Linked DNA regions of Schizosaccharomyces pombe. Changing the gene in region 2 together with the main gene of any one other region gives a genetic interaction. Each region holds a gene or a part of one and is shown on either strand. Other genes may lie near its edges.

Region 1 (6,168 bases), 4.0 Mb from region 2:
GAAGAATGCAAATCTTATGAGCAAGGCTCATACCTAATAGGAATTAGTAAGACCCAGCAAACCGGAGCGAACGCCTTTCGTAAGTACTCTAAAGTTCTTTATTTATGTATAGTGCGAAAGAAGGCAATCTTACAATAGGTTATTATTAGTCGCTATTTAGTAAACATCTAAAATGGCTGAAATCTAATATAGGACACATTCGATTAAAAGGAATTAATTGAAATATTGATAATTTGAATTTCAAATAAAAAATCACAAATACTCAGAATACTTATAAGGGGCCATTCATACGCTCGCATCAAATTATGTTGCTGATGCAATTGATACTTCACAAAGGTACTCAACGAGTATAGATTAAATGGATTTATAGTGGATTCTATACAATGAAACACATAAAACAATAACATGCACTACTGAATTCATTCTTATAAAATTCACCGGCAGGAAAACTAACGCACTTTCCTGACGTTAACGATTATTAACGAGACTAAAGTTAAATAACATTTAATGAAGACAAACTGGTAACTAAACTCTCCATTACTTTTGCATTCAATATGATCGAAGTTTTATGGTATGTTTGACTTATTTTACTTTCTGGGAGCATTGAAATTGGAAAACATAAAGCTCTAACTAAATTTTAGTAACGATCGTCTAGGGAAAAAAGTACGCGTAAAATGTATGCCTGATGACACAGTTGGAGATTTTAAAAAACTTGTTGCAGCTCAGACCGGTACAGATCCAAGGTAAGGATTAAATTCATCATTTGTTAAAAAAATGTTAACAAAAAAATAGAAGGATCGTCTTAAAAAAATGGCACAGCGTCTTTAAGGATAACATCACATTAGCCGACTATGAAATACACGATGGAATGAGCTTGGAGATGTATTATTCTTAAAAAGCGAAACTTTTATTTTCTTAAAAAATAATATACTTGGAAGTTTTATGTTAACGAAAGTAGCAAATTGACTTTAAACTTGTTTAATGAAAATCTGATGGATAGAGTTATATTGTTGAGCAGATTTGTTAAGTTTTTTACAAAGGAAATTTGGTTTATTATTTTCAATTTTTTTCAATTCACCTTCGAAGGTTTTGTATTTACCTGTTCAAACTACTAAATAAATAATGATTTTTCGTTGAAATGCTATCTTTTTGAGTCTAATAATTTGGATACTTTTTTATCTTTCAAATTGCTTACCTCCCCAAATTGTGATATAAGTCAGCTAGACAATGATAATAATATTGTTTTCTAGCTGCCATATCAATAGTTGTTCATCAAGCCTTTTACGCTTCTAGTCAAGTGTAACCGCTTTAAAAATGGAAACCAGTATGTTTATTCTTAATATGAATGGATTTTTCAAATTCAAATTTACCATTAAATTTACAAGGCTTATATCTTGTCATGGGTAGGACCAATTTCCTAGGTTCATGACCGTTTATGAAATTATGTCTTCAATGCTTCGTATTTATTCATCATACCAAGGAAGATGAAACAAATTATCAAGGAAAAGAGGGATTCCGAATTATATTAGTATAAAGCTTTATAATGTTACGCCACTGTTTTATTTCTTAGCCCTGCTTTCTTCTGAATGTAATATTTTTTTTTTTTTTTAAGAAAATAATTCTTTGAAACAGGTTTTAAACATTTTTAGTAATGATGAAACTCAATTGACCTGCTTTTCAAAAAATCAGAAAATTCATTAACATGAAAAAATTTCAGATATGTATTGGTTACCAAAAAATCATCTACGGGAGTATTCAATTTTTTTAAAACTATTCTCTGAATTGATTATACTTCTTTTACATTTTGGAGTTGTAATAGCTTGACTCAGAAGTATCTGCTAAGCCTCCATCTTTACTCAAGCTAACCTTTCCCAACTTGTCATCCAGACGATCACCTTCGTTGGTCTAAGCTTACCAGTCTAAAAGGTCGAAACAAAAGTACTGCTTTATTCTTTGAGAATATAAACAAGTGTTGTTCAAAGTTCTAAGCCAGGATTTGCGTTTTTGTATGCTGGGTCTGTTGGTATTTAACCAGAGACGTGCTAGGTTCATAAGTCCGATTTTCTAGGACTTTCTTTTGAAACGTTCTAACAGTGAGCTTGGACAGTTTATAAATTCTTTTTTTATTTCTCACGGGTTCCTTTCAACATTTCTTTGGATTTTATGAGTGATAAGTGGATATTGTTCATTGTCTAGATTAATTGTTGGTAAATTCATCTATCTCTTAATTTTCAACATTGGAAAGTATATTCTTTGTGCTGAGCATTTAGGAATCCTTTACATCTTAAATACTTGCTTTTATACTGGCGTTTTAGAAAGTATCGAATAGCAGTGTCTTTTTTTTTTTTTTGTTTACAAGATTTTTTATTTTTACATTACCCCAACTTTCTTTTACTACTTTTTCTCGTTTTTGTTTTTGTATGAAACAGTTCCATAATGAGTGTTCAATATGATGCATTCAGTGTTGAGCAAACTTGTGCGGATTTAGAAACTGACATGTATAATGGCCTCTCTAGTCTCCAGGAGATCACGCGACGTAACAAGGTTCATGGAGATAATGATTTGAAGGTAGAAGATGAAGAAAACATGGTGGTTCAATTTCTTAAGCAATTTGTTAAAGATCCCCTAATTCTTTTGCTTTTTGCAAGTTCTGCAATTTCGGTGACATTGGGTAATATAGATGATGCTATTAGCATCGCTTTAGCTATAGTTATTGTCGTGACTGTTGGATTTGTTCAAGAGTATCGATCTGAGCAATCTTTAAAGGCGCTGAATAACCTTGTACCTCATTATTGCAATGTTATCCGGTCCGGAAAAACGGAGCATATTGTTGCTAGTAAATTGGTTCCTGGAGATTTAGTTATCTTACAAATTGGTGATCGTGTTCCTGCTGATCTGCGAATCGTTGAAGCTACCGAGTTGGAAATTGATGAATCAAATCTAACAGGGGAAAACTCGCCACGAAAGAAGAGTAGCGAAGCTATATCTTCAAACATATCTCTTACTGAAAGAAATAACATAGCTTTTATGGGTACCCTCGTTCGTCATGGTCATGGGAGAGGAATAGTTGTCGCTACTGGATCTGATACGGAATTCGGTCGTGTTTTCCTTACTATGCAGCAAACTGAAAAACCAAAGACGCCATTGCAGAACAGTATGGATGACTTAGGCAAGCAACTCTCTTTAATCTCTTTAATTGGTATTGCCGTCATTGTGCTTGTTGGTTTTTTCCAAGGTAAAAATTGGTTAGAAATGCTTACAATTGGAGTTAGTTTGGCTGTCGCCGCTATTCCTGAAGGTCTTCCAATTATCGTAACAGTCACCCTTGCTTTAGGCGTGTTACGCATGTCTAAGAAGAGGGCTATTATCCGTCGGTTACCCAGTGTTGAAACTTTGGGAAGTGTTAACGTTATTTGTTCGGACAAGACTGGTACTCTAACAATGAACCATATGACAGTTACTAAAATTTATACATGTGGAATGTTAGCAGCTTTCTCCTTACCAGAAAGTGAACATATAGAGCTAAGTGTTAGGCGCACTGTTGGTATCGAAAAGGCACTTCTAGCTGCTGCTTTATGCAACAATAGTAAAGTTCATAACAAAGCTGATTCTATTTTGGACACTACTTGTCCCTGGGCTGGATTTCCAGTTGATGTCGCTTTAATCGAATGTTCTGAGCGATTCGGGTTGAAGGATCCTCGTGAAACGTACAGTCGTATATCTGAGGTTTCATTTAGCAGTGAGCGCAAATACATGTCTGTTGCTGTCCAATACAACTCTAGCAAAATGAATTTCATGAAGGGAGCCACTGAACAAGTGCTGTCAAGTTGTGCATATTTTAGCGATCAGGATGGTGTTCAACACGAGCTTACTGCGGAAATGAAGGAGAACATTCAACGTAACGAGTTTGAAATGGCTGCTTCGGGACTCAGAATTATAGCTGTTGCCAGTGGTATAAATACCAATAAACTTGTATTTCATGGTCTTTTTGGCATCAACGATCCCCCTCGACCCCAAGTCCGCGAAAGTGTACAATATCTAATGACTGGAGGGGTTCGAGTTATTATGATTACAGGTGATAGCGTTGTTACTGCAATAAGCATCGCTAGAAGTTTGGGTATGGCTATTCCTAGTAATGACGAAGAAGCAATTCGTAACTATGCGCTGACTGGAGCTCAGTTAGATGATCTTGATTCTTCCTCTTTACGTGATGCCGTTTCCCGTGTAGTAGTCTTTGCAAGAACTACACCTCAACATAAAATGAAAATTGTTGAAGCCCTTCAAAGCCTTGGTGATGTTGTGGCTATGACTGGTGATGGCGTAAACGATGCACCTGCCCTCAAACTTGCAGACATTGGTATAGCAATGGGTCGACAAGGTACGGATGTTGCCAAAGAAGCGGCTGATATGATTCTTACCGATGATTCTTTTGCGACTATTTTGAGTGCTGTTGAGGAAGGTAAGGGAATATTCAATAACATTAAAAATTTCATTACTTTCCAATTGTCTACGAGTGTGGCTGCTCTTTCATTAATCGCCATTTCGTCTGTTTTCGGCTTCCAAAATCCCCTCAATGCCATGCAAATTCTTTGGATCAATATTCTAATGGATGGACCCCCTGCACAAAGTCTCGGAGTAGAGTCAGTTGATGAAGACGTGATGATGAAACCTCCTCGTCCAAGGAATGCTCCTATTATATCAGTTCAGCTTTTACAACGTGTTTTACTCAGTGCATTTATAATAGTTACTGTCACTATTGTGGTATTTAGAGTACAAATGCAAGACGGCAATGTAACAGCTAGAGATACTACTATGACTTTTACTTGTTTTGTTTTCTTCGATATGTTTAATGCTTTAGCATGTCGTTCCGAAACAAAATCGGTTTTCAAGCTTGGTATTTTCTCTAATAGAATGTTCAATATCGCAGTCGGAGGCTCATTAATTGGTCAAGCCTTGGTAGTTTATGCTTCCCCCTTTCAGCGTATTTTTCAAACTGAAGCTATTGGACTTAAAGATGTTCTAATATTGTTAGCTTGTACCAGTTCTGTTCTCTGGGTTGACGAAATTCGCAAATGGTATCGTCGCCGTAAAGGTCTTGTTAGAACAAAGAGCAATTATCTGCTAAGGAATGTATAAATGATACGTTTTGCGGTAACAAGTTGCATATCTTTGTGCTAAGTTTAAAATTACTTAAGGAGCTTTACTATTATTTTGTGAATACAAAATTCCAATGCTATATGTATTTAAAAAATTCCTGTATTTTATTAATTTTTTGACTAATGATTATTAGCTTTCCGCTGGTTTCTTATTCTTATGGCACAAAAGGGGTTTGCTTCTCTGCCATGAAGTACTCGAGTCTATACCATTCGTTTAAAAGCTTTCATCGTTACTTTTCATTTCAGTTTTTTTTTTCGAAAATCCTGTATCTTGGTTAATTTTCAAGCACTTAGTATGTTCAGGCTTTATTATTCATCACCTTGATGCAGTCCTCACTGGTTAGTCTTAAAACCAAATTATATGATTTTATTCTGACTAAAGGTTAATCTAAAACATATTAGTTGTAGTTTCTATATAGAAACAAATAATAAAGGCTTATCAAAATTAAAGGTTTTAAAATCGGTTGTCGCTTTTCATCATTTAATTAATGCAAAAGAAAAATTATACGAGATTAAACAGCCGCGTTGCTCTAAATTGTTTTTGTATCATTATATCTTGTGCTGTTTCAAAGTCAGTTTATACATGTTTATTGAACAGTTGATTCATGTGACCGACTCGCCTTAAGTAATTTTTCTTGTCATTAACGTTTGGTCTTCAATGAGTAAATTTTCCATTCATTAGATTGTCACAAGATGTTGGCATTATTGTTTTTATTTCGTGTACATCAACGCTATCGTCGCATATTTGTCGTCCCACTACCAAAATCTGAATGAGGCAAATAAGTGTGAGATAGACACAAATTTGAACCCGAAATTCAATTAAGCAAAGGAGGATGATGAGGTTACCCTCATGGCTTAAAAATTCTTCCTCTTGGCTCTGGACGGCGGCGTTATCAAGGACTGTTCAACGTCGACTATTAGCATTTGCCTTGAGAAAGCTTATTGGATCCATTCTTTTAGAAAATGTGCAGCCTGAGGATATAGACATCCTTTTTTCAAAAGGGGTCCTAAT
Region 2 (5,050 bases):
AATAGCCGCATTGACTTGGAGGTTTGTTTTTAAGTCTCCAGATACAATTTTGGAAGCTATGAATGCCTCATGAGCATTGGATTTCGGGTCTTTTTGTTTTAAAGAAGCGTTGGCCAATGTAAATAGCAAATTTCCAATTGTTCTATCACATCCCGAAGAACCAACGTTAGTTTCCTCAATGACCTTATTTAATGAAGAAGAAAGCTTTTTATTTTTTAACGTATCTTTTACCGTTGTTTCATTTAATCCTATTTTTGTAAACTTGGCACGTAACTCCTCATAATCCTGGTCCATTTTAGTATAATAAAACTTCCCTCCAAAAAATGTATAAGTATTGCAATAACAGCAAACGCGATGAAAAATGAGAGGGTACGGTTAAGTTTTTAATAAAGCTGTTATTATCTTTCAATTCATGTGATAAGCTCCTATCATTGCGTTAATCTGCATAACAGCGGAGTAGGGAACTAATCTTAAAAATCGTTAAGTTAATAAAAGTAGTTTCAGTATTAAATTAAAATTTAAAACATTTTGTTTACGGTTTGAAAATTAAAACAGGAATTCACACTTTTGCGCTTTTGAGATATTTTTAATTTTTTTTAAAAAAATAGAGAACGCAAAATGCTTTCCGAATCTTTGTTTTTTTCCTTTAAATGAATAGTTGTTTATCGGTTCTAAGCTCTTGCCTAGTAAGGCTTTTTTGCTTTCACTTTAATACTCAAGGGAGGATGATTCTTTATTGCTATAAAAGTTTAGATTTTAAAAACAGCATCAACCACTGTAGTGTACAAATGAATTTCATTTGCCCGCCAAGCAGTTAGTATGTTTTTATTCATTCAATCTGGTATCTCTTCTCAAACGAATGTACTTTTGGGTATTTTAATTAAATTTAATCTAATTAGGTTTTAAATTTTCATAAAATATATAAATAACTATTTGTGAGTCCTTGAAAATATTTCATTTAGCTTAAGCATAAATATTGAAATTATTCTGAAGAGTAAACAATATACAAACAATGCGAGAATGCAAATAATGTTAGTAACTATACAACTTCAGTTTCTATTTCAAATCGTTTTACAAAAAATTAAACTAAACATATGATTAGTAAATATCGCTTAAAATTATACAAATAATGGAGATTTCACAGTGTTCCATCAACGCAAAAAGAAAATATTAGGATAATGCTTGCTTTTACTTAAAACTGTAACAGACCAAGAAATAATTTTACAATATTATTATGAATTCTGGTTTTAAAAGCATGATTTTTCGTCAAACCGTCGCTTTTTTTTTTAGCCCAACAAGGGTTTTCTTTAGAAATTATCATGAACGAAAAGACTTTTAAAATTTCAAAGCTCTTAATTGCAGCTACAAATTCGAGATCAATTACATAGTAAATGTATTAAGGGAATTATTTTTCTTAGCATGTTCTTTGCTAATAAGATTTTCGTTAGAGCTAAATTATTAAACAGCAAACAATTAAGTAATATATTTCAGTTCATTGAATTTAATGGGCTAGTATCACTGAAACAAACTCCTAACTTGCCAAGCTCAATTTATTCTAACATTTACCTATCTTAAGAGAAAAGTAAATCAGTCAATAAGTGATACAGCTTAATTTTCATGTTTATCAACTCATTTTTTATGTTATTGCTCACCCTTGGATCAATTATGTAGTGATAACTTTGCGCGTATTTAATTTTTAGGCTTTGAAACTGAAAATAAAAAATAAGAAAGAAAGAATGAATTAAAAAGTGAATTGATTTTTTTGGACATTATAAAACCATATTTCACGATGATCGCAATGGTGGACCCATAGTCCACTTCGTGGTTCCCAACCCATTTCACTGTTATCCCAACTTGTATCTGCTTTGAATTAGCTTTTCCTTGTTTAAAACATTCCGGATACAAATTCACTCGTTTTTTAATCTTTAAGCTTTCCAAGTTGGATATTTTAATTTAGAAACCCAAAGTTTTAAAGCGAAATCCTTACCGTTTGACGGCCGCTTAAAACATGCTATCTGAGTTTGAGAATGGGGCTCCCGTTCAACAATTCGTTTCTCGTTTTCGATCCTATTCATCTAAATTTTTATTTTTTCCATGCCTTATAATGAGTTTAGTTTTCATGCAATGGCTTATATCTATCGGTCCTTATTCTGGGTATAATACACCTCCTATGTATGGCGATTTTGAAGCGCAAAGACATTGGATGGAACTAACATTGCATACTCCTGTGTCTCAATGGTATTTTAGAGATTTGCAATGGTGGGGATTAGATTATCCTCCTTTAACAGCATATGTTTCTTGGTTCTTTGGTATAATTGGGCATTATTTTTTCAACCCCGAATGGTTTGCTGATGTCACATCTCGTGGATTTGAAAGTCTTGAATTAAAATTATTCATGAGATCTACTGTTATTGCATCTCATCTTCTAATACTCGTTCCCCCTTTAATGTTTTACTCCAAATGGTGGTCGCGCCGTATACCTAATTTTGTGGACAGAAATGCTAGCCTAATTATGGTCCTTTTTCAACCTGCTTTACTCTTAATTGATCATGGTCATTTTCAGTACAACTGTGTTATGCTGGGTTTAGTTATGTATGCAATCGCTAATTTGCTTAAAAACCAATATGTAGCTGCTACGTTTTTTTTCTGTTTAGCTCTTACGTTTAAACAGATGGCTCTATATTTTGCTCCTCCTATTTTTTTTTACTTATTGGGAACTTGTGTAAAGCCAAAGATTCGTTTCTCAAGATTTATCTTGTTGTCAGTCACAGTTGTTTTTACGTTTTCCTTAATATTATTTCCATGGATTTACATGGACTATAAAACATTGCTTCCTCAAATTCTTCATCGAGTGTTCCCGTTTGCTCGTGGTCTTTGGGAAGATAAAGTTGCTAATTTCTGGTGCACCCTCAACACTGTTTTCAAAATTAGAGAGGTGTTTACTTTACATCAACTCCAAGTAATTAGCTTGATTTTTACTCTCATTTCTATTCTCCCATCTTGTGTTATATTATTTCTTTATCCTCGTAAACGTCTTTTAGCTCTGGGTTTCGCAAGTGCATCATGGGGGTTTTTTTTGTTCTCTTTCCAAGTTCATGAAAAGTCGGTTCTTCTTCCTTTACTTCCCACTTCTATTCTCTTATGTCACGGAAACATTACAACCAAACCATGGATTGCTCTAGCAAACAATCTTGCTGTTTTCAGGTAAAATATACATATTTACTGTTTAAATTATACTAATATTTTTATTAGCTTATGGCCGTTACTGAAAAAAGATGGTCTTGGTTTACAATACTTCACATTAGTATTAATGTGGAATTGGATTGGTGACATGGTAGTTTTCTCAAAAAACGTCCTTTTTCGGTTCATCCAACTGGTAAGACTATTTTTATTATTTGCTATTTTTTTATGCCAGGTGTATTAACTGGATGCAGTCTTTTTATGTTGGTATGATTGTTATTTTGGGAATTGATCTGTTTATCCCACCACCATCCCGTTACCCCGATTTATGGGTCATTCTTAATGTTACGCTTTCATTTGCCGGATTTTTTACTATTTACTTATGGACTCTTGGTCGCTTGCTACACATTTCAAGTAAACTTTCTACTGATTTGCGTAACAAAAAAGAAGCATAAATTGAACAAAATGATTTTATGTTACATTATTACGCGGAAAAATCAACATATAGTAAAGGATTTTATTAAAACAATTCTGGGAGAAGGATTGTTATTCATGACTTCAAATATTAAACGAAAGTTATATTTGCCTGAAATATTATTTTAGCCAAGTAACCTTTTATTAAAAGAACGATTATTAAAGTACCATCATCCCATCGAATTCAACACGACAAAGTTGTAAGCGGTACCAGACCGAGCTTTCTACTTTCGTAGCTGATCTAATGTTCAGTAAAAATTGAAAATATGATAAAACAAAAAAAGACAAATGGGATTGTGTATCGATAAATTAGGAATCCCTAATGACTGCATGCTGAGGTTTAACTTGAGGTTTAGGCTGAGCATCGCTGTTAGGTGAAGCTTCATCTTTAGTGGTAGATGAAAGCGAATTTGTGTCAGCAACTTCAGAACCAGAAGGCACGTCTGACGTTAAATTAGTTGTAACTCTTCTTATAGGTTGCCTTTTCCTCTTTGTAGACGCCGTATGTTTTGGAGTATTCCGTTCGTCAAGACTCATCTGAGAAATTATTTCTTCACACCTTTTATATAGTTCTTTAGATGTCCAAGCCGCATTATTATAAAAAAGAGTAGGATCATCTAATAAAAGACTAATTTCTCGAGGGACTTCACAAAATTTCTCAAAGTTCTCAATCAACAGATGAACAGCCTCGATGGCAAGGAAACTTTCGTCAACAGGATCGTTGCTTTTGGAATATAATATGTTCGGAGTAATTACGGTAGCAAGATTATGAATATCCATTTTGCTTCCCACCTCATCATCGATGTGGGAAAAAGAGGCAACCCAATATAGAAAGCCAAAAATTACCTCCATAGTGTCTCTATGTCCCTTGGGTAGTAAACATATTGTAAGATGCAAAACCCTCATGCGTTCTTCCTCAGACTCCAACTTTGAAGACGTAATGAACAACCCAAATAACTTGAAAGTTAAAAGAGGATCAGGAAGCTCTCTAAGGAATTTTTTCAATAAAGCAGCCAACTGAATGGGTGTTTCTTGCTCATAATCAATTGAATCCGGAGAAACATCGAGCATGTCAGATAGCTCTTTTAACCTACGTATATTTCCGTTCTTTCTAAATACACCAACTACTGACATATCTTTTCTTTTCATAGCAGCCAATGTATTCCCAATAAAGGCAGGAATATGCTTGACACCCACGCCTGTTCCAACCGTCGACTGAGCGTTATTACGCTCAACAAGAATCTCCAATGGCACCCCAAAGGTACCTTTCTTTTTCACGTTCTTTTTTTCGGCATCTTTCCCCTTGAAAGCCTTTCCAAATTTTTCCCAGAAACCACCTTTGCGCAAATCGCTCATTTCCATCAATTCATCAAGTGAATAATAATCCCGTACAAGA

What was found.
Region 1: mutations in alg6 (region 2) and pmr1 impair growth when combined (synthetic growth defect), as found in Schizosaccharomyces pombe (one large-scale study listed by BioGRID).

Annotation. Positions count from the first base shown.
Region 1 is NC_003423.3:239,338-245,505, reverse strand, and holds pmr1 (P-type calcium transport ATPase Pmr1), read left to right. Parts: upstream 1-1,863; 5' UTR 1,864-2,436; coding exon 2,437-5,136; 3' UTR 5,137-5,668; downstream 5,669-6,168. Other genes in the region: ubiquitin-like protein modifier Hub1, read left to right, coding at 555-571, 642-743, 793-895; autophagy-associated protein Atg2, read left to right, coding at 5,993-6,168. UniProt on the Schizosaccharomyces pombe protein: Transports calcium and manganese ions into the cell. Regulates cell morphogenesis through control of manganese and calcium homeostasis.
Region 2 is NC_003423.3:4,198,661-4,203,710, reverse strand, and holds alg6 (glucosyltransferase Alg6), read left to right. Parts: upstream 1-1,840; 5' UTR 1,841-2,008; coding exon 2,009-3,204; intron 3,205-3,252; coding exon 3,253-3,376; intron 3,377-3,434; coding exon 3,435-3,635; 3' UTR 3,636-3,963; downstream 3,964-5,050. Other genes in the region: glutaminyl--tRNA(Gln) ligase Qrs1, read right to left, coding at 1-294; Rho-type GTPase-activating protein Rga1, read right to left, coding at 3,964-5,050. UniProt on the Schizosaccharomyces pombe protein: Probable dolichyl pyrophosphate Man9GlcNAc2 alpha-1,3-glucosyltransferase that operates in the biosynthetic pathway of dolichol-linked oligosaccharides, the glycan precursors employed in protein asparagine (N)-glycosylation.